2 linked regions of the Oreochromis niloticus genome follow. The protein of the gene in region 1 purifies or fractionates together with the protein of each later gene. This does not show direct contact. Links are inferred from orthologs where the notes say so. Each region holds a gene or a part of one and is shown in the gene's direction. Other genes may lie near its edges.

What was found. The genes of interacting proteins can lie anywhere in the genome.
Region 2: the proteins of rpl23 (region 1) and rplp2b fractionate together in Homo sapiens (co-fractionation; 4 studies listed by BioGRID). This does not show direct contact. The link is inferred for Oreochromis niloticus from reciprocal best matches to the Homo sapiens genes RPL23 and RPLP2.

Annotation. Positions count from the first base shown.
Region 1 is NC_031969.2:3,805,764-3,815,843, forward strand, and holds rpl23 (large ribosomal subunit protein uL14), read left to right. Parts: upstream 1-4,571; 5' UTR 4,572-4,676; coding exon 4,677-4,689; intron 4,690-5,764; coding exon 5,765-5,848; intron 5,849-7,414; coding exon 7,415-7,543; intron 7,544-7,990; coding exon 7,991-8,104; intron 8,105-8,533; coding exon 8,534-8,616; 3' UTR 8,617-8,663; downstream 8,664-10,080. Other genes in the region: putative C-type lectin domain family 20 member A, read left to right, coding at 1,190-1,321.
Region 2 is NC_031965.2:17,971,361-17,981,440, reverse strand, and holds rplp2b (large ribosomal subunit protein P2), read left to right. Parts: upstream 1-4,787; 5' UTR 4,788-4,933; intron 4,934-5,738; 5' UTR 5,739-5,739; coding exon 5,740-5,862; intron 5,863-6,005; coding exon 6,006-6,054; intron 6,055-7,107; coding exon 7,108-7,203; intron 7,204-7,630; coding exon 7,631-7,707; 3' UTR 7,708-7,750; downstream 7,751-10,080. UniProt on the Homo sapiens protein: Plays an important role in the elongation step of protein synthesis.

The DNA of each region.
Region 1 (10,080 bases):
GGCGATGTTAAACTTGCTTCTCTTTGGACTGCTGGTGTTCCAGCAGTTTTGAGTTCATGACACCCTTGAGCCTTGGCGATTATTCCTGAACATCCTAACTAATTTCCTGTCATCTGAGGGTGATAGTTTGGATCTTCTTCCAGAGAAGTGATGATAGATCAAAAATCTTGCACCTAAATATAAATTTTGATCACCATTGATCAATGGCCACGAGTAAATGGTAAATGGACTGGTTCTTATATAGCGCTTTTCTACTCTTCTGAGCACTCAAAGCGCTTTATACAACTTGTGCATTCACCCATTCACACCCATTCGCACAAGCACATTTTCTTAGTGCTTTCTAACTAACATTCACACACACATTCACACTCCAGCCACCCCTGCGTACCCTGAGTACCATTCACAGAGAGTTGGGGAATGACTGTAACTACAGCAAAAAATGACAGGATACCTTTTTAGACTGCGAGATTTCCATCAGTAATGGAGGGAATTTAAAAAGTTGATTTGTACCTTAAATCAGTGCATACGGATTAGTACTAAGAGCTAAAGTTCAGAGTTCCTAGAAGGAGCCCACGAAATCTTCAGGATTGAAGACTGTGTGGATGAAAGGACCAAAATCACACATGAGCAATGCATGTGACATCTGGATGTAGCGTTTTCAGTGGGCAAAACGTTTTGTCTCATCCAGATGAACAGAATCAATGTTTTGCCTGAATGATTGAGCACGCATCAAGACAATGTATTTGACTAGTTTCTGCATACAGGAGGCGTATTGAATCAGTCATCACCAACAAAGAGTTTTGTACAAAGTATTTTATCAGTTTCAGTAAGCGTGTTCAATACTTTTCCCTGTGTCATTTCTCCTTTTTCATTATTACATATAACCTAATTTATGGACATCTATGGTTTGATTTCTTTGCATGTGTGGATTGGATGGGTTGTTACCAACATGTGCTAAGAATTTTATGTCAACAGCACCTCTATGAGAATAGTTCAAAGCAATCATTAAAATTCCCAGATAAAAATGACATTATCCCCATGATAATTGTACATAAACGTCTGACCACTAATATATAATTTTTTATAATATGAAAATATTCTGATTGTTCTCAATCAGAAACTAGTGAAAATTAATAAAACACAAATTTCAGTCGCTGAGAGAATAATAAAAACTGTTTGTGATTCACAGCTTATTCAGAAACTGAAGGAGCAAAACATAGCTGGAAACGTGAAACTGAACTGGGTAAACCAGCCTGATGGAACGATCTTCAGCAAGAAGAATGAAGAGTACAAGGAAGAGGAGATATGCACCATCAAATGAAGATTTTGATTATCCAGCTTAGTATTGCATAGTTTAGGGCATCATAGTGTAGTGTGCCAGTGGCCAAGGTGGCATGGCTCATCGTTGGATAAAGAAAATTATATCACTTATATATATTATACTATACTATACTGTAGCACAACTTTTGCACTGTATTGCTTTCTATCACACATTAGACTGAATATCTCCTGAATGTATCATTTGAGAATATGAGTATCTTAAGGGATGCAGATTTTATTTTACAGAATATTTCAACTCAGATTTGCAACACTTTATTAAATCTAGTCCTGGCAAGTTTTCTCAAATTTGCCATGTAGAGAAAAAAAAAAATGAATGTTTGCTCTTACTCATTTCTGTTGTTTTGGGATTTTTTCCTTTATTTGTGGACATTAAAGGAATATTAATCAACTCTGATCATTAGTTATTCTTAAGAAAGAAGAATAGCAGAGGTGGTATGGAGACTGGAACGAACTGTAATAATTATACTTTGGCAAAATAAATTTTGGAAAGACAAATGATGTTTATTTTTTATCTATGTCAACATTTGGCAGTGTTTTATATTACAACTTGGTAATAATATGGCAATTGTGGGGTCATGATTTTACATGACAGAATAATCAGTTAAATATAATATATAGTTATTGTGTAAATTTTAAAATGAAGTCTATCCCACAAAACAGTTTTGGTAAGAATATAATATCTGTTAACAACAAAACTGTAAAATCTTTGTAATATCTGAGATTTTAAATAAAACATGTAGACATTCATGTTGGTTATCATGAGGTGATAAAGCCTTCAAAATTAGAAAAATATTCTCTGAAATATAATTTGGTAAATATACACTCAAGGTAAAAATGTGATAGTTATTCTTGTGGTTTTGTACCTGGAAACAATAGTGGTAATTTCTGTATGTTTCAGTGAACGATCAAAGCTTCAAAATTTGAATCTACCTGTTTTTAATTTTAAGTTAATAGTAGATTAAAATCAACTTCCAGAGCTATAATAATTATCTTTTTCTGCTACATTTCATAGTAATACTTTCCAAAAGTAAAAACCAAGGAGTCGGTCATACAAATCACTCAATGCTTGCTTGTTCAGGTTGGAGTACACACAGACATTAGTCACAAGGACATGACAGCTTTACCACAGACATGAGGTAGGACTTCTTACAAAGTACACGGACCATTTGGAGATTCACGCTTATCTTGAAGACATGATGAGAGTCCTGTGACTCATAGTATCAGGGCCCGCAGCCTTGCTTGAGTGGAGTTTCATCAGCTGTCTCGTGATTTGTTCAGCAGTAAAGGTGACTGGAGTGGGAGGAGTGGAAATCCTGATATAGAGCTCGGGATCAAGACATCACCAACACATTGCATTATGGGACTATTGTTCATATATTAATATATATTAATTATATAATATTAAATATTATTATTATAATATTAAAGAGAAGCTATTCCGAAAGTCAAGAAAAGTCAGAAAGCCATCTTAAATCTGCACTCTAATCAAAAAACAAGAGAAAGTGACATATTTCCTTGGCAATGTTACTTTTAAAAAAAACTGTCATGAACAACACAGGCTTATAGGTGTAAATTACTAATATAAATTGCTAATGTTTCCCAGTCATATGCAAAATGTTAAGACGATTGTGCAACACACCTGCAACTTGAATACAATACTTCAATGCAAGAGCTGTAAATTTAGGCGAGAATAAAGAGTAATATAACTAACTAACAACCTCTTATTACCAGTTTTAATTCACTTTTTATGTAAATAGATACATTTCTATAAAAATGTAACTTAACATGTTTCCCTTGTTACTGCAGTTTACCTGCAGTACCTTTGCAGCCTGGGAATCACTGTTATAGAGGTTGCTTTTGGATTTGAAAGCAAAAACATTCCCTTAAAACATTTAGAAACTCTTTATAATGGTGAGCTGTGTTGTAAAATGACATAAACATAAGATTACCTCTGTACAGCAGTCTCTGTTCAAAGGGTCCAAGTCTCTGATCCTAGGGGTATTACCACAATAGGTTAACAGAAACTGATTTAAGCCAGTGATGGGGGGATTCGCCCAGCACTCACTACTAAATGCCTACCCCGCAGTCTGCTACATGATGGGGACAGACAGATAGTCAGATAGCCCTGCTTACAGGACTTATTGATTAGATTCACTCACTGAATTCCATCATTACACTCTTTTTATACTGTCTAAGGGTTGGAAATCAGCCATGATAGCTTGTGTAATATTTAGTTATTTCTGGAAGAATTCGGATGGCTAAATCCACAAAGAACAACAGCAGAGGCCAGATAATCACAGTCTGTACTGGAGATCACAGAAACTATCACAACTTATTTCTAGGTATTTCTTTAACCACAATTAAGACTCTGACTATGCTTGTTTTCTTGTTTAGGTGTGACGTTAGATCAAAAATCATATTGACCCAACGGCCTACAAGTGTGTCTACCCTGGGCTGGATTACCAGTCCAATCCTGACCTCTGTTGATTCTTCATATTAGCTCAACAAGCTGTTTTACACCTGCTTCTGCTGCCCCAAGGGCCAGAACCCCCCCCCCCCCCAAAAGATATACATGTAGCCTCATATTCTTTTTTTTTTTCTTTAGAAAGAGGTGCATCTGAGTTTAAATTAATTTCTGTTGTCCCATCATGTGGATTACAATGTAATTTCCTTGAGTCCTTTGCTTAACTATATTTATGAAATGTATTTAAAGTCTTAACGTGACAGATTGAAGTTTTTAAATAGAGACACACATACGAGCACGTTGTTGTGTCAGTGATCTGTTTTGATTCATTATGATGAAATAACAAACCGTGAATGATATGAAATGATAATTTAGCCACAGGATTTTTTCAAACAAAAATGTGTTTATAAAGCACAGCAATAATTACAACAGTGTAACTTCTTAGCAGCCCAGACAAATGATTGTATAACCAAATTTCTATCCAAGACCGTTAAAATTATTTTTCAACCCTTTCACAAGACAGAATTAAACAGAAACTACATACAACAGGCAGGTAAATTGTTTAGGTAAACAGTAAATAATTTGATTCAAATACTAATAAAAACAAATTAAAAACTGGACTTGCAAAATTAAGAAACAGTGGGAAACTAAGGTAAACGCCATTTTTAAAACACGCAAGGCTAGTATAACATCACTTTGTGATCCAGTTCGATCGTAGACGCAAAAATGACGTAAACACCAAATTTGATTGATGAATTTTCCCGACTGTTCTTGAACGCAGCGCGTCTCGTCATCCTGACCCGGAGGAACTTCTGTTCTGCTTTATTACCCACAATTCCTTTCTCCGCCTTCCTCTTTCCGTGCTGCAGCAATGTCTAAGAGAGGTATGAGGCTTGCTTTGTAAAATCCACCTCCATCTGCTCTTTCTAAGATGAGCTACAGCTTATAGAGTTGCTTATGTGTGATAGAGAGGCTAAATCAATGTTTTTGTGTGACCAGTTTTAAAATTATGACAAAAGTTAGCGATTTTATAAAGATCGCGGTTGAGATGGGAAGTTGAAGGAAGCCATGTTTTTCGTTCAGCGCCATGTATTACTGAAACGAGAAATGCTAGAGGCCGAAAATGTGTACGTGCTAGTCGCATTTTCCTCCACACACTTTAGCCTTCTGTTTGGTGAAGGTCTTTATTTTTATGTGAATTATAACGATGCTTCCTGACCTGAAATTGTACCAATGAAGTGAATTCGTTTGTGGTAATCAGGGCTAGCCGGGAAAGCTAAGCAGCGCCGGTCTACATTAAGCGTGAATTATGGATAAGTTGGAGCTGCCAAATTTGAAACAAACTCTTGCTGAGCAAAATGGAAAATGCTTGTAGTTTTAGCTCTTGGTTACTACTTACTTGCGTTTACGCTTAACCCAGTGAAATGAAAATAGCTCTACAGTGTTCACGTGTTTTCCGGCTCCGAAATCAAACAGAATAGCAAGAAGTTGTATATTTGTCGTATGGTTTGTGCTAAGTTGGTTAAAAGGAGCTTAAGCTGCTGGCAACTGTGTAAACCAGTGTCGATGACTGCATACATGTAATGTCATTAAGGTTAGAAGTTCCTTTAGATTGGGCTTCTCTGAATTTTAACCATCATTGTGCCCTGACCTGATCAAAGGTCATATTCATGCTCTGTTATAAGCTTCAGTAAAGCATGCTGTAGCTTGTGGCTTATGTATTACAGTGGGTGTGTAGATTTCTCAAATGTGGCATTCGCTGCTAAAATGAAATGGACCCATGTGATGATTAAAGGCTTATCCGAGTCAGGGATTTCAGTGTCACTATAAGTACACAAGGGCACTTGTGGTAAATATTTACATTTGAAATATCAGTATCTTTCCTGAGTTTAAATCACAAATGCCCAATTTGTCAGGTAGAAATGATTCTTACTCGGACGTTTTTCTCTTTTCCTGCAGGACGTGGTGGTTCCTCTGGAGCCAAGTTCCGCATCTCCCTGGGTCTCCCAGTAGGAGCAGTCATCAACTGCGCGGACAACACAGGTAGGTCTGTGATAACTCGTTGCTGTGTCAGGTTGACTCCTGTTGGCTTTTCCTTTTGCTTCTCTTGTTCACCTTTTCTTTACAAAAAAGTCTTAAACTCTTAACTGATTGATGGGAATTTAAGATCCAGCCAAAAACTTACTGTTTTTCACGTTGAGCTGTTATCTTTTCACTAAGACCGGCCACATCATTCTTCACTGTATGTGATCTAGTTTATTTGGTGTGCTCCTTGTAGTGTTTGTGATTGTGTTGTTGTAAATGGGTCAAGTTAAAAGTAAAAACATCAAAGTATCACAAAAGGACAAAGTTAGTAAATCTCAGTTTTTTCAAATTTTGGAAGTGTTGTGAAACTGCTTCATTTTTAACTTGGTTATGGAGCATCAAATGCTGCTCAAGGATGAATGTACTGGAAACCTAGATTTATTTCTCTTACTGCTTGGAATGGCGAGAAACTCCTCACTACCTTGGTATTGTCCTGTGCAGAGAAGAAACCCCTTTACGCGTTATTCCCTGTAACTTCATAGTATTTTTTGTTTGTTGGTTTTTTCTTAATGCAGTTGTTTGCAGAGTAATGATCACAAAAGGTTAATAAAACACATTAGTAAGTGTAATCATTGTAGCTTTTGTGTAGATATTTGTTTTAATCCTTGTTGCTTATACCTGCTGATGTTTGCACTGAATAAGTCTGCTTTTTGTTGTTCTGGAAGCAGCTTTATCATTAAATGTAAGTGACGACTTGGAAAAACATGTCTACATGGTATCTACTATACTCAGTAATGCACATAAATGGATTATTTGAGGGTTTGGTTTTTTTTTAACCTCTGTGTGAAAATTAACATGTATGCAAAGCATCAGTGTGTCAGTTCTCGGAGAGAGGTTTTCTGTCAGGGTCTAATGTGACTGGAAATTAGGAAAACTTGGATCTCGCCCAAAATGGTTCTTTTGTTTCCACTTTCTCTAGAGAGAATGCTTTTGACCACAAGTTTGATTGTACCTGAAGGCTCACATAACTTAAAATCTATGTTCAAAAACATGTTGTTGAAGTTAAACTTGGATTTATATGCAGATTAATGAGCACTCTTGATAACAGTGTATAATTATTTAACCTGGGGGGGGGGTAAAGTAATTATACACTGCAGGCGTGTTGTTTTTCTAGAACAAATTTAAAAAGTACTTAGCAAAAAAGGAAACAGTTTCAGAACTTTGAGTACCTGCATCTCACATAATGTGAACCTGGCCATAAACATAGCACTGTTGTTTGAAAGTGAAAATGCAATAACAGGATTGAAGAATTTGGACAATGGCTACTAGTTGGTTACTTCTGTCCACCCCTTCCAAAAGCACTTGCTTTGTCTGCTCAGTGGCTCGGTGAGTTGTCGTAGAAGGGAATATTGATTTCATCACTGTGGGTGAGACAGCAGCGACCCCACTGTGGCTGACTGATCTCAATCAGGGATGAGACAAGCTGACAACGTGGTTTTGTCATAAACAGGAGCGGGAGTAGATCTTATTTTCTTCCACCCTGTCCTCTGTTCTCATTATGGTGTTTCTCACTATGTTTTTCAGGTGCCAAGAACCTGTACATCATCTCTGTGAAAGGCATCAAGGGCCGTCTGAACCGTCTTCCTGCTGCTGGAGTTGGTGACATGGTCATGGCCACAGTCAAGAAAGGCAAGCCAGAGCTCAGGAAGAAGGGTAAGTGGGAAACTGGTCGTCATGCAGTCTTCACCAGACATGTAGGTTCTGTTTGCGGCGTTGCACACTCTTTCATAAACTCATTATTAAATGTCATTTAAGCTGCTTTCATGCATGTGCTGTAATTTGTCAATGGCGAATAACAAAACAAAATTAAAATAAGGAGCAATATCTCCATTCAGTCTTTCTTCTGTGGATCCATTAACAACGAAGCTGGTGACTGTATTCCTCTTTGTCTGTTCAGCTTTACTTTAGTGAAACATGCAGGTTCTAGTTGGAGTAGCCTTTCAGCTGGAAGATCCCTGGAGCAGAGCAGGAACTACAGTCACCAGCTGCAGTCTATAAATGTCTAAATATAAGTTGCTAGTCTCAGTTGCAAAAAGTGTTTAAATGCGGTTTTTAGTTTTAAATTTTGAGCTCAAATGAACCTTGTTCCCCTCTCCACAGTGCATCCTGCGGTGGTGATACGGCAGCGGAAGTCGTATAGACGAAAAGATGGCGTGTTTCTCTATTTTGAAGACAACGCGGGTGTCATAGTAAACAACAAAGGAGAAATGAAAGGTGGGTTTTTGAAACGTGGCGTGTCATTCATCCTGCTTGCTGTACAGGGAGATGATTGGTGTGTTGTCATGACAGGAGCATATTTGCCCTTCCAAAAGCACTTGCTTTGTCTGCTCAGTGGCTCGGTGAGTTGTCGTAGAAGGGAATATTGATTTCATCACTGTGGGTGAGACAGCAGCGACCCCACTGTGGCTGACTGATCTCAATCAGGGATGAGACAATTTATAAATACTCAGTACAACTTTTTCTTGTAATGTATTGGTTAATGTGATGTTTCACCCAAACTATGTGCTCCCAGTAATGAAAGTAACACCACCTTATAAATTTATCTAACTTTTATGCCTCTCCACTGTAAAATCAGTTTATTTTTCAAGCTTTTAAAATAACATAAGTATTGGGACTTGCGTACCTTTGTGTGTGTGTCTACAGGTTCTGCCATCACAGGCCCAGTGGCCAAAGAGTGTGCTGACCTGTGGCCCAGGATTGCCTCCAATGCTGGCAGCATAGCCTGAGCTGGACCCCGCACCTGTTTGTTTTCAATAAAAACTTGTTATTGAGATGTGTCTTGGTTGTTTCATTTACCTTTCAGTCCAAAATATTAAGACTATTACAGAAAAAGCTCTTATGGTTTTGATTAATATTCATAAAGAAACAAGTATATGCTCAGAACTTGTTTGCTAATATGAAGTTTATTTTTCTTTTATATTCAATATTTACATGACTGAGAGCTGGTACACCTTGCAGTTCCTCACATTAGATACACTAGGGCCAACAAAGATATTGAAGGTGTTAACAAAAATGTCAAGACTACAGCTGGGGGTGGTCAAAACTTTGAACCTGACTGGAGAATTTAAATCAAAGCAAAGAACAAACTCGTGAGGGGTGAATTATTTTACAGCAGATATGAGGAAGGGATAGAAACCACACAATATTAATAAAGAGGATTACACTTCAAAATGTGTTTCTACAGTGTCTAGCTGTCTCCACCTAAACGTGAATGAAATCTTCCCCAAGTCGACTTCTTTATAGGAGTATGGCAGTAATAGAGTTTAGAATGTACAGTGGAGGTGACCTGCGAATTGGCATGTATGTGTACACCATCCTTTTCCAGCTAGTGTATAAATGTGCTTTCCTGATCAGCCATTTTCAGTTCTGTCTGCTGTACTTGGACATCCCTGGCACCTCACTGCTTGGCAGATGGAAGCCACACTACCATCTGCATAGAGCATGTTTTCTCTGTCATAGATGCCTTCATCATGCCCATGTTACAAGGTCAATCGGTCTGAAGTACAAAGTAAACAAGAAAAACATTGCATTTTCCTGCACTTCACTGTGACAATATGTCTGCATACAGTTTCAGTTGTCAAAAAGTGGCACTTAACAAGGGTACAGATAATACTGTACTGAAGGTGCATCTTCAGCTGTGGTCGTGTGTACCTGCAGGTTTAGTAAAAGAACTTTAATTGGAAGTGTTAATGCAGAGGTTAGTGAATGTCATTGACACAATGGACATAAAATGCCTGATGAATAAGCAGACGGTGCAAAGCTATCAAGCTGCAGAATACACAGTTGTGGTCAGAAGTTTACATACACTTGATATTTTGAGCCTTAATAATTTCTTTGAATTGTTCTTTTCCCCTGGTATAATGATTGCAGGGCATACATCTTTAATGTTTTAAAAAAATATTTAGTACACAACTTTGAGTTTATTTGGTTTTTTTCTGTAATCCACACAGGGTCAAAATTATATATACAGGCTAAAAAATATACACACATTCACTTTTAGCTTTAAGGGCATTCTCATTAGCGATCATAATTGACTTTCTCTTTGCCAGCATAGAGGGAATTATTTGACAACAATCACTGAATTGACAAATATGCAGAACAACTGGTAAGTCCAAGAAAGGAGAATTACAGAGTTACACAACTTGGGAAGGTGTCTTGGAGCCATTTATAAACATCTGCAGATTCCAAGA
Region 2 (10,080 bases), on another chromosome or scaffold:
CACTTTTTCTGCTGTCCTTCTCTCACACTCACCCCTTTTCTACACCCTGCCTGCACTCTCCTCTTCACATCTCTTGTGCAATTAAAATCAATTTAATTAAATTTTATTTATATAGCACCAAATCCCAACAACAGTTGCCTCGAGGCGCTGTAAAGTAAAGATTCTCCAATGATAGCTAGAGAGAAAACCACAATAATCACAACCCCCTATGAGCAGGCACTTGGCGACAGTGGGAAGGAAAAACTCCCTTTTAACAATAAGAAACCTCCGGCTGAACCAGGCTAACATAAGGACGGCCATCTACAGTCTCCAGTGGAGGGTGAGGGGAGGAAGACAGGACAAAAAACACACTGTGGAAAAGAGTCCATGTCCGTTGCTTCGGATGGGCCCCAAGGTTTTCAAACTCAACTGAACTAATGCAGTTACACTGGTCTCATTAAGCATTTTTAGTTGATAAAACTAAGTATTTGACGTATTTTTAATTTGGAAGTCAAACCTCGTCTGCTTACTTGTTCACTAAATGGAAAAATGCCCATTGCATGAGCAAAAAAACTGTAAATAGAAAAGCACTGGCCTTTCTATCAGCTAAAAAGAAGAAACACTAATCAACCGGCATGAGTCAGTGTGGAGAACTGAACTACGGACTTGCTATCAGTGGAGGAAGCAGCTGTGATTTCCCAGCTCAACAAAACAAATATAGGCCTGGTGATCTTTATGGACCCTGGTAATATTTGGTAATGTTGGGAATGTTTTTTTTATTGCATAGTTGTTTTTGTTTCTCTCTTTTCTTTCACTCCAGGATGTTTAATTAATTTTTTAAACATGTAGCACTACTTGTTATGGCATAGAGGAAATGGTCAAATATTTGCTTTCACATACTTCCAGACACAAGATCGTCACCAAAACTAAAAGGTAAGGAAATGTGGTCGGAGTATTATGGAAATACCCAAATGGATGTGAAAGTGGAACATAAAGATAAAATCACAACAAGGACAATCATGAGTAAGTTCAGATTTCCATTGAAAACTGTATTAATCATTAGATGCATATAGAAAAATCAAGTAGCACAGAAACTGTAAATTCGTTGTCTGAATAAACAGCAGCTATTTTGACTTCTCTAATATAACCAACTATGGCTCTATGCCACAAACATATAGACGTACTATGTGGCAGGTTGAAATTAATTTCATCACTGACGTCTGTTTTTCCACTAGTCTTTATAAGATGCTTTCTTATTTCTACTTTTTCAAAAAAAAAAAGAAAAAAAAAAGAAATAATCACACAAGGACAGACACGGCCATCAGGGGTAGAGTGAAATGCTTAGGATAACAGAGGGGAACAAAGTAAAGGACCGAATGACATGACTGCATGAAGGTCAGCAGTTCTTTTGTGTCCATCGTTTTCCTCTATATTCGAAATATATTCAATATGAGTCACTTCTGTGGGCTGATTGCTCCAGAGGGCGGAGGAGCTGACACTCGTTGATATCCAGAGATATTTTCTGTTGGCTCTTTCCACAGAAAAAGGAAAGATAAAACAAAGTACAAATCCATAAAAACAAGCATTTATTATGATACTTTGTTAGTTTTTTTCCTAAAGTTTTTTCAATGCAAAGATAAATCGTTAACATTCACAAATATCAAGGCTAATAATACACTATACAGACAAAAGTATTGGGCCACACCTCTTAATTCTTGAAATTTTAAAATTAAACATTAAAAGGTTCTATTGGGGCTTGTAGTAAAAAGCACTTAAAGCCGCCAACACTCTGCAGACCCAGAAACTGCAGCGCTCCAAACCTCCTCTGGCATTAACATCAGCATGAAGACTGTGCGCAGGTAGCTTTGAGGTGCGAATCTCCATGTCTGAGCAGCTGAGCAGTGTAATATGTAGATGGCCCTGTACATTTGTCCTTATACCACAGTTCTTTGTTTAGTCATTTCTTGCTGATTGCTGTTTTAAAACTTGTCGTTTAGTGTTATATTTGTAACAACTTATTTCCCAGTTAATAATAATTAAATAAAAGTTAAACTAAAGCCTGATTATTGACCTCGTCTTTGTAACCGCAGGCACTCAGATGACACCATGGGACAATCCTGGAAACATTTTCTAATATTGACAATCTTCAGTTAGTGATTTAATCTTGGCGTTATAAAGAACCTTTTCATTATTATCATTATTATTGCTTTTACAAGGATGACTCTCACCATGAACCTTGACATTAGTGGTCTGTGTTCTGTATATATTTAACCAGCCCTTTCATCTTAGCGTTTCTCCCACGTATACTGTGGACAGACCTCTGTTTGCTTGTAAACTGAAGTAAATCCTGAATATCATTCTAATATGACAATGAATATTATGAAAGAATGCTTTAATGAGGTTAAACCCATTCTCCCATGCGGTTTTGGTACCTTAATTATAATTTTCTGTGATGAAAATTACAGAAATGGGATGAAATCCAGAAATAAATGCTTACTCACTAAATGTTATACATCCAAGTTCGTTTAAGACAACAGTCTGCCTATCTGACAAGTATCCCTCTCAGGTAACTCCTGTAAGTTTGCTGCTCTTGTCAGTATTAAGTAGTCTTTGCGCCCCATCCAGACTGTATATGTCTGAGAGGAAGGAGGTCTGTAACAAGAGCTCGGGCCTGTTCTCCTGGAACCAAGCAGCGCACGTGACAGCGATTCATTAGAGCTGGTTGTTCACACTACAGCTTGAGAGCACAGCACAGCTGCTGCCTTCTCATGGCATTGACGCCATCCGTCGCAGGCTCTCATGTGTGGATGGTTCACTTCGTCTCTTCTGGCAACTGAAATCAATCACACCCAGGACCAAACGCAGCAGCAGCAGGGACAGAAGAAGAGGCAGGAGGCCAAACCGGACCAGGAGCCAAGTGAGCAGTAGCAGCAGACAAGGAGGAAGAAGCTGATTCATGTTCATATACAGTGTAACACACACTGAAATGGTTAGAGGAGAGCTGCTGCAGAGTCACGAAAGCACAAAGCTTCATTTGCAAAAAGATGCAGATGATGTACAGATATTATCTGATTATTATCTTATCTTATACACGAGTATTGACCCAAATAATGAGGTAGGGATGGACTCCTGCAAACAGCACCAGAAGAAGGTTGATTAAAGTCTCCTGAATGAGATACAAATATGGATTCCCAGTAACCTTTGTGGATAATTTAAGATTTTATTTATTTTTCCTGTTTAATTGAACAGAGTGCAAATTAAAAAACAAGCGAACTATAATTTAATGTTGCACTATGCTAAAACAAATCTCAGAGATTTGTTCCCACCCATCTTGAAAGATCGCAAGATTAAAATAATACATCTACATAAATGTCTTTACTGCTTTTCTTCTTGTTTAGTTCCTCACTCTCTAACAGGGTTATGATTAGGCTTTACAAACGCCTCTAATACTTTATTATTAGTTAATAAGCAATTGATTACTATTGTGCATTATATTAGGCGTTATGTTAACAAAAAACAGCTGTGTTTTGCGACATTGATTTGTCCATATTATAAACCTGCCTCACTGGAAGTTAGTTCCAAAGAAACTCGGCCCACGACTTGTAAACTTTTACATTTATTCACAGTTGGTCAAGTTTCATAAATAATTTATAATGAAAGAAAAATGTTCACAGGATGTCCAGTCTAGGCCTCCAAGTGTCCACAGCCAGTCCACTCACATACTCAGCACAGGAGCCACACAAGGTTGCAGCTGGAGCCCTTCTCTTTACTCTGCATACCCTGTATGCATATGACTGCACGCTACGCTGTAACACAAAACCCATCAGACAATGCCGTGGCTTCCGCAGTCCGCAGACAATGCCGTGGCAGGGCTGATCAGTGGAGGAGATGAGTCTGCCTGCAGAGGTTCAGAAGCTGACAGGCTGATGTGCTGAAAACAAGTTGGTTCTAAATACCAACAGGACCAGAGAACTGATAATTGAGTTCAGGAGAAGTCAGAATGGCCACTTACCACTGAACATACAGTGCTGTTCTCAGGAAACAGTCTGTGTTATGCTTTTTTAATGAGGCAGTGCGTGTTGTATGTCCATGTGAGGTCCCTGAAACCGGAGACTCTCTCAAGCTCCCTTATGTATACAGTGCTGTGAAAAAGTATTTGCCCTCTTCCTGATTTCTTTCTTTTTTTTTTATATTTGTTCACAACACTGTATATGGAAAAGGGTTGGAGGGAGTGTTTAGTTTCAGGCACCTCACACAGACACACAACACACACTGCCTCATCACAAAAAGTACAACAAAGACTGTTTCCTGAGAACTCCTGAGAAATTAATTTTCCAGGAAGTGTACAGTGTCACTTTTTTTTTCTACACAGCGACATTAAAGTAACCTTGATTCTTGTAAAAGTGACATTTCATCCAGCACTTCATATCAATAAAGCATGTAGTTACAAGCTCCAACTCTTTTATACAGGATATGAGTACATCAGAAGGACAGCTTAGGTTGAACAGTTTGAAAGCAAAGTTAAAGAGACAAAGGATATTGAATCTGGAGATGCCATATAGGAGCATAAGAGGAAGACCACAAAACTGATTCATTGAGTGAGAGAAGGTGGACATCCAGAGGGTTGGTATACCAGAGGAGGACGCAAGACATAGGGTGAAATTAAGGCAGATAATCTGTGGCAACTCCTAGGGGGGGACAGGAGGAAGAAGAAAAAAAAAGAAGGGGAAGAAGGAGAATTTGAATGTATTCTTTAGTGTAATATTTCGCGTTAGGTAAAGTTTTTACACCGAGGTTGCAAACACACTCCTGAGCAGCAGGCCTCGCCTCGGTTCCTACTTACTTTTAATGCGCTTACGAAGAAGAAAGGCTACTTTGCTTTTTTCCGGTGACGTAACTTCCTTTCTGTCCGTGCTAACCTCAGAGTGAACACGCGCTCTCCTATCTAGCTCAAGTAAGTTTGGTTTTAAAACGTAAATAATGTGTTAAACACTAAGAAAATAACCGAGCCACCCAGATAAGCATGTACATTTTCAGCCCAGGCATTTTAAGAACATTAAAGAGCGTTTAGCCGACATTAATTCCGTTCTTTGGCTCCCGGAGCTGACGCTAGGTTGGCTAATGGTAGCGGAGAGCCGCATGGGTGTTAAAATTATGCTGTGTTTTCCCACATTGTCGCATTTTTTAGGCTTTATAGAGGTAGAGAAAATTGTATTTTAGTAGAAGCATATTCAATATTGGAAAATATGTAGTTTTTAGATAAGTGGACGATGGGTATCGGCTGTAAAGTGAAGCAGCGAACTGCTGTTTTACTGAAAATCGCCGTAATAACTCAGAAATGCGTTGGGATCACAGTCCTGTAGCTGTCTAAACCCGGGGAAAAAACTGACCCCTGAAGGGGTCGACCGTATGTCTTTTTTATGTTTTGTTTTTTTAATGATGCATTAACAGGGACAACATTTAATATTTTCCTGCTGTGATGAAGCCATATATTTCTTATAAACCGTAACATTTTCACATAAAAGTCAGAGATTGATCTTTTGAGACATGTCATGACTTTCTCCAGGCTTTGATTTTTATATAAAAATTTATCATATGCTGATAATGAAGCAAAATGAACATGTTTGTGTGAGTTGTGGTGTTTCCACTTTTGTTAATGTAAAAACAGATTGTCTGAACTTTAGACATCACTCATGTTCCTGTGTCCATACAAACGTCAAGCATGGTTACTAATGTTTCCAGTAAACTTTGTGTTTCAGGATGCGTTACGTTGCTGCTTACCTGCTGGCTGCCCTCGGTGGCAATGAAAACCCTGATGCCAAGGACATCAAGAAGATCCTGGAGAGCGTTGGCATTGAAACCGATGACACACGCCTCGACAAGGTACACAGCCACCTGCTCCTCTTTGTGTTTTATTACTGTTGTGGCTTCAGTTTTTCCCAGCAGCTGGTTCCTACCTTTAGGTTATGTTTATAATTGCATCTCTCTTTCTCTCTCTCTCTCTCTCTCTCTCTCTCTCCCAACAGGTTATCAGTGAGCTGAAGGGCAAGAACGTGAATGACGTTATTGCCACAGGTGAGTTTCCCGCAGTTTCATTTATGTGTGTGTGAGACCATGATTAATTTTGGTTTAAAATTTTGTTTGGCTGAAATGTTGTTAGGTCTGAAAGTTTAGAATTAAATGGATTCAGGCATGATTTTAATACTGAAATGGACTGCCTGCAGGGGTCTGAACTAGTTTATGATGTTGGATATTGTGACTAGTGATAAACTCCTTTGACGCACAGGAAAAACAGATTTAAGGGTTAAAAAAAAAAAGATTTATTAAAAATATGAGTGAACTAAGCTCTCAATGCTGGATTCCTCAGCAATGGAGGATGGCACAGTGTGTATGGATCACAGTTATACTGGAGAATTTGTTCATTGAAAATGGTTAATAAAGGTATTGTGTATATACAAATTACTTATTGTATACACAAATTATACTTATGAAGTTTTATTAGTCATCTTACACACTCTGTGCAGTAAGAATTAAAAACAAACACAGTATCAAGTTTAAAAGACTAAAAAAAGAACTAATTACTAAACAACTACTAAAAAAAAGATACAGCTAAGAACAACAGTATGAAATATAAATGTCATAATGTAGAGTACTGCAGATGGGCAGAAAAGTGGCACAGTGTTAAAGGTTAATATCAGCGCTATTGGTGCATGCAGCAAGTGATACTTGTAATGCAAAAACAATCCTAAAATACAGTTGGGATGGTGTGAGTACAAGTAGTAAAACATCAATATTTCATTTTCTTATTTGGGTCTTCGTGATAGCTGATCTTGCACCCTATTTGTGGGCAGAAATAAAATATTTCATGTGTGTGTCATGGTGCATTTGCTGTGATAATTTCAAGAGTTTTCTTGCCATAGTTTCTATAAACCTGCAGGGCATTATATCCTATTGGACAAAGTGAATCGATTTGAATATGAGATAAGAAAAAAGTTGTATTTAATGAGATGTGTAAAGTCAGACCACATGTAATGATAACGGACTGTTTCTGACCTCTGTCTTGTTTCTGACTGCTGAGTGTCGATGTTATCACTTGTGCTTCATGTCTGCCAACTCGTGTCTCCTCAGGTTACGGTAAGCTGGCCAGCATGCCAGCAGGTGGTGCCGTAGCCGTTGCCAGCTCTGCAGCTGCTGGCTCAGGCGGAGCCGCAGCTCCTGCTGCAGGTGAGCATTGCAGCTTAGCACCTTGTTTGGCACCATCAATCATATTTGGCACTTTGTGATTTTGCCTTCACCTTGTATGTTTGTACAACTACATGGAGCCAAATAATGATCTGTTGACATGAAAGATGCATCTAAACAAGTTAATCCACACAAAATCCACACTATACTGGGTAAATACAGTGCAGGCAATTTAATTTATGCTAAGGTTTTAAGTTTAATGGTTTTAGAAAAGAGGCTTTTTTTTGTTTTCATATTAATACAGCAGCGTGTAAGCAACACCCAACAAAAACTGGGAAATTCAAAAATAAAAATCAGTTGCATTTAATTATATTTCAAAACACCCGTTATATTAGGCAACCACATGAGCAGGTTGCTGTGTCATGGTGATGACAGCAGGAAGTGATATCAAGTGCTTTTTGTTTTTCAGCTGAGGAGAAGAAAGAGGAGAAGAAGGAAGAGTCTGAGGAGTCCGATGATGACATGGGATTCGGCCTCTTCGATTAAACTCCTTGAGCTGATCAATAAAGTTTTTACAAAATCCCTCTTATGCAGCTTTTCTCTTTACTTTAAAACTTGTGAGGTTGTGTAATTTGACCTGATCGGGCCTATTCAGTGTTCGGGTATGTGAACTTATTCAAATTAATGGAGAAAAAAACAAAAATCTGAAAAGGCTCTGGCTGATGAAATTGATCCCAGTGCTCAGTAGATGGCGCTGTGGAGCCTTTCAGCGCTAAAGGGATGAAAGCAGACGACACCAGATCCTTCATTTTGGGCTTTTGTTCAGCGGTTTGAATTATCCACGAGCTTAGACACAGATCTCCACACTTGACACCGGTGAGGCCAACACTTGAATTATTTACAGCTAAGGATAAAGTGTCACGTGACGGCGAGCTGCCAGCACGGCTGAAGCTGCACGTAGTCCTCTGTGTGTCAGCAGCAGTGAGCCTCCGAGGGGGAAAAGTGCAGTTGCAAGAAAAGAAAAATGAGTTTTGAGGAAAAAGAAAGAATGCTGCTGCTTTAATTGCATAGCGTAAAGGTAAATAAGACAGTTGTGTAAAGGATAAACGCTTCGCCGATTGAGTGTCGGCAGCCTGTCGCTATAACAACTTTACACATTAGTCAATATCAGTACTCGCATACATCTTAATGTTTAACCTTTATAAAATGCATTTAACAAGTAAGAGAAGACTGTTTTACAATGCTTGATGTGAGTAAAACGCAAACCTACATGTATGTAAAATTCAAGCGTTGGTCTAGAAATTATACTTTTATAGTTAACTCATTAGATTTTGGCAGGGAACAAACGTTTTTACAAAACAGCTCAGGTGTAATAAGTAACGTGTTAGAAGCGATAATAAAATTAAAACAAACACTCTCGTGAACGCATATTATCACCGAGTAAAGGTCGACACCCAGAATGTAAATTATTCACCACAGTATAAACAGCACAGGCGTCCAGTATCAAGAGCAATTTTGTCTCATTATATGAGACCAAACATCACACGTTGTTTTTATTGACTGGGAGTTCTACTGATTGCCTCTTCCAAGTATCTAGGGTGACAAGGTGTCCTACTTCACGTGGAGCTGAACAGCATTTTATACCTTGACCCCTTGTCCTACATATTAGGACATCGTCCTACATTTGGGTCTTGTTTAACCTCCTAGAACATGGCGTCCACATATGTGGACATCACATTTTTGGTTATTTTGACCAAAATACTCAATTTTGCTCTACATGGGCCTGATATCCACTTACGAGGACATTATACTGCTACTGTTCTATCAAAATTTTAAATGAATATCCTCATTTGTGGCTCTCGTTTTTCTTAAAAACAAAAATAAGGTAAAAACAAAAAATCTGGAAATTCTTTGTTTTTACATTCATTGGGCCCCAATGTGACCAAATATCAAAGAGAAATTAAAAATGCATGGTGTGGAAGAGTTCGGGTCTTAGGAGGTTAAAAGAGAAGACGGATAGCTCACTAGAAAGATTTGGCTCAAATATGGATCCATTCCTACTGAAAATCAAAGATCAAATGCTGAAACATTTGCTTCCTTGTAAAAAGCTTTGAAATTTTAATTTGAAAACAATTACAGCACAATTGTTCTTTTTTATGATCTGTGCGACAGCTTTAACCCAGACAGCTTATGCGTGTTTATTTTTCAAGTTAGATGCATAAAAATGTTCAAACAACAAAGTAGTGAATGCTGCCTAGCATGGGACACCTGTGAATCAAACTGTCCACAGAGGCCCAAAACATTTTCTATACCTGGCAGCATGTATGTCTTTTAATACTGTAAAATTGGGCAGTTTAACATAGCAGTTTATAGGCATGGACTTTCTTTTGCGGTCATATTTAAATGACACTTCAGAGGCTACAGGCCAGAACGAGTACTTCAATCAAACAGTCAACACTTTTCACCAAAAAAACTTACTCGAGCGGCAGCTGATCAGTTTGCTCAGTTATTATTCTCATAAATTGTTAGGCAGATAAAATATCTGCAGACATTTTAAATAATTCATTTAGGGAAGTGTGTGCATTTTTCTTGGCACACACCCCCACTAATACCACAAATAGCCCATAAATCTGTGGGAAACACTGATGTCACTTTCAAACTTTCCACAGTCAAAATCAATGGAGAAAAACTTGAATCACAGCATCCCTACTGGTAAACGGGATATTGATTGGACTGTTCTGCAAAAAGCAGGCTAGACAGAAACAATTTACCAGATTATTGTGTTTTTCCCTCTTCAGAGGAAAATGTGAATAAGATGCGCAGATTTCGGAGTAATTGCCTCATTCGCGTGAAGGCAATCAAAGAAAGCAAAAAAAAAGAGAAACAGAACGAACAGAAGTCTGGACACATTCAGGAGGT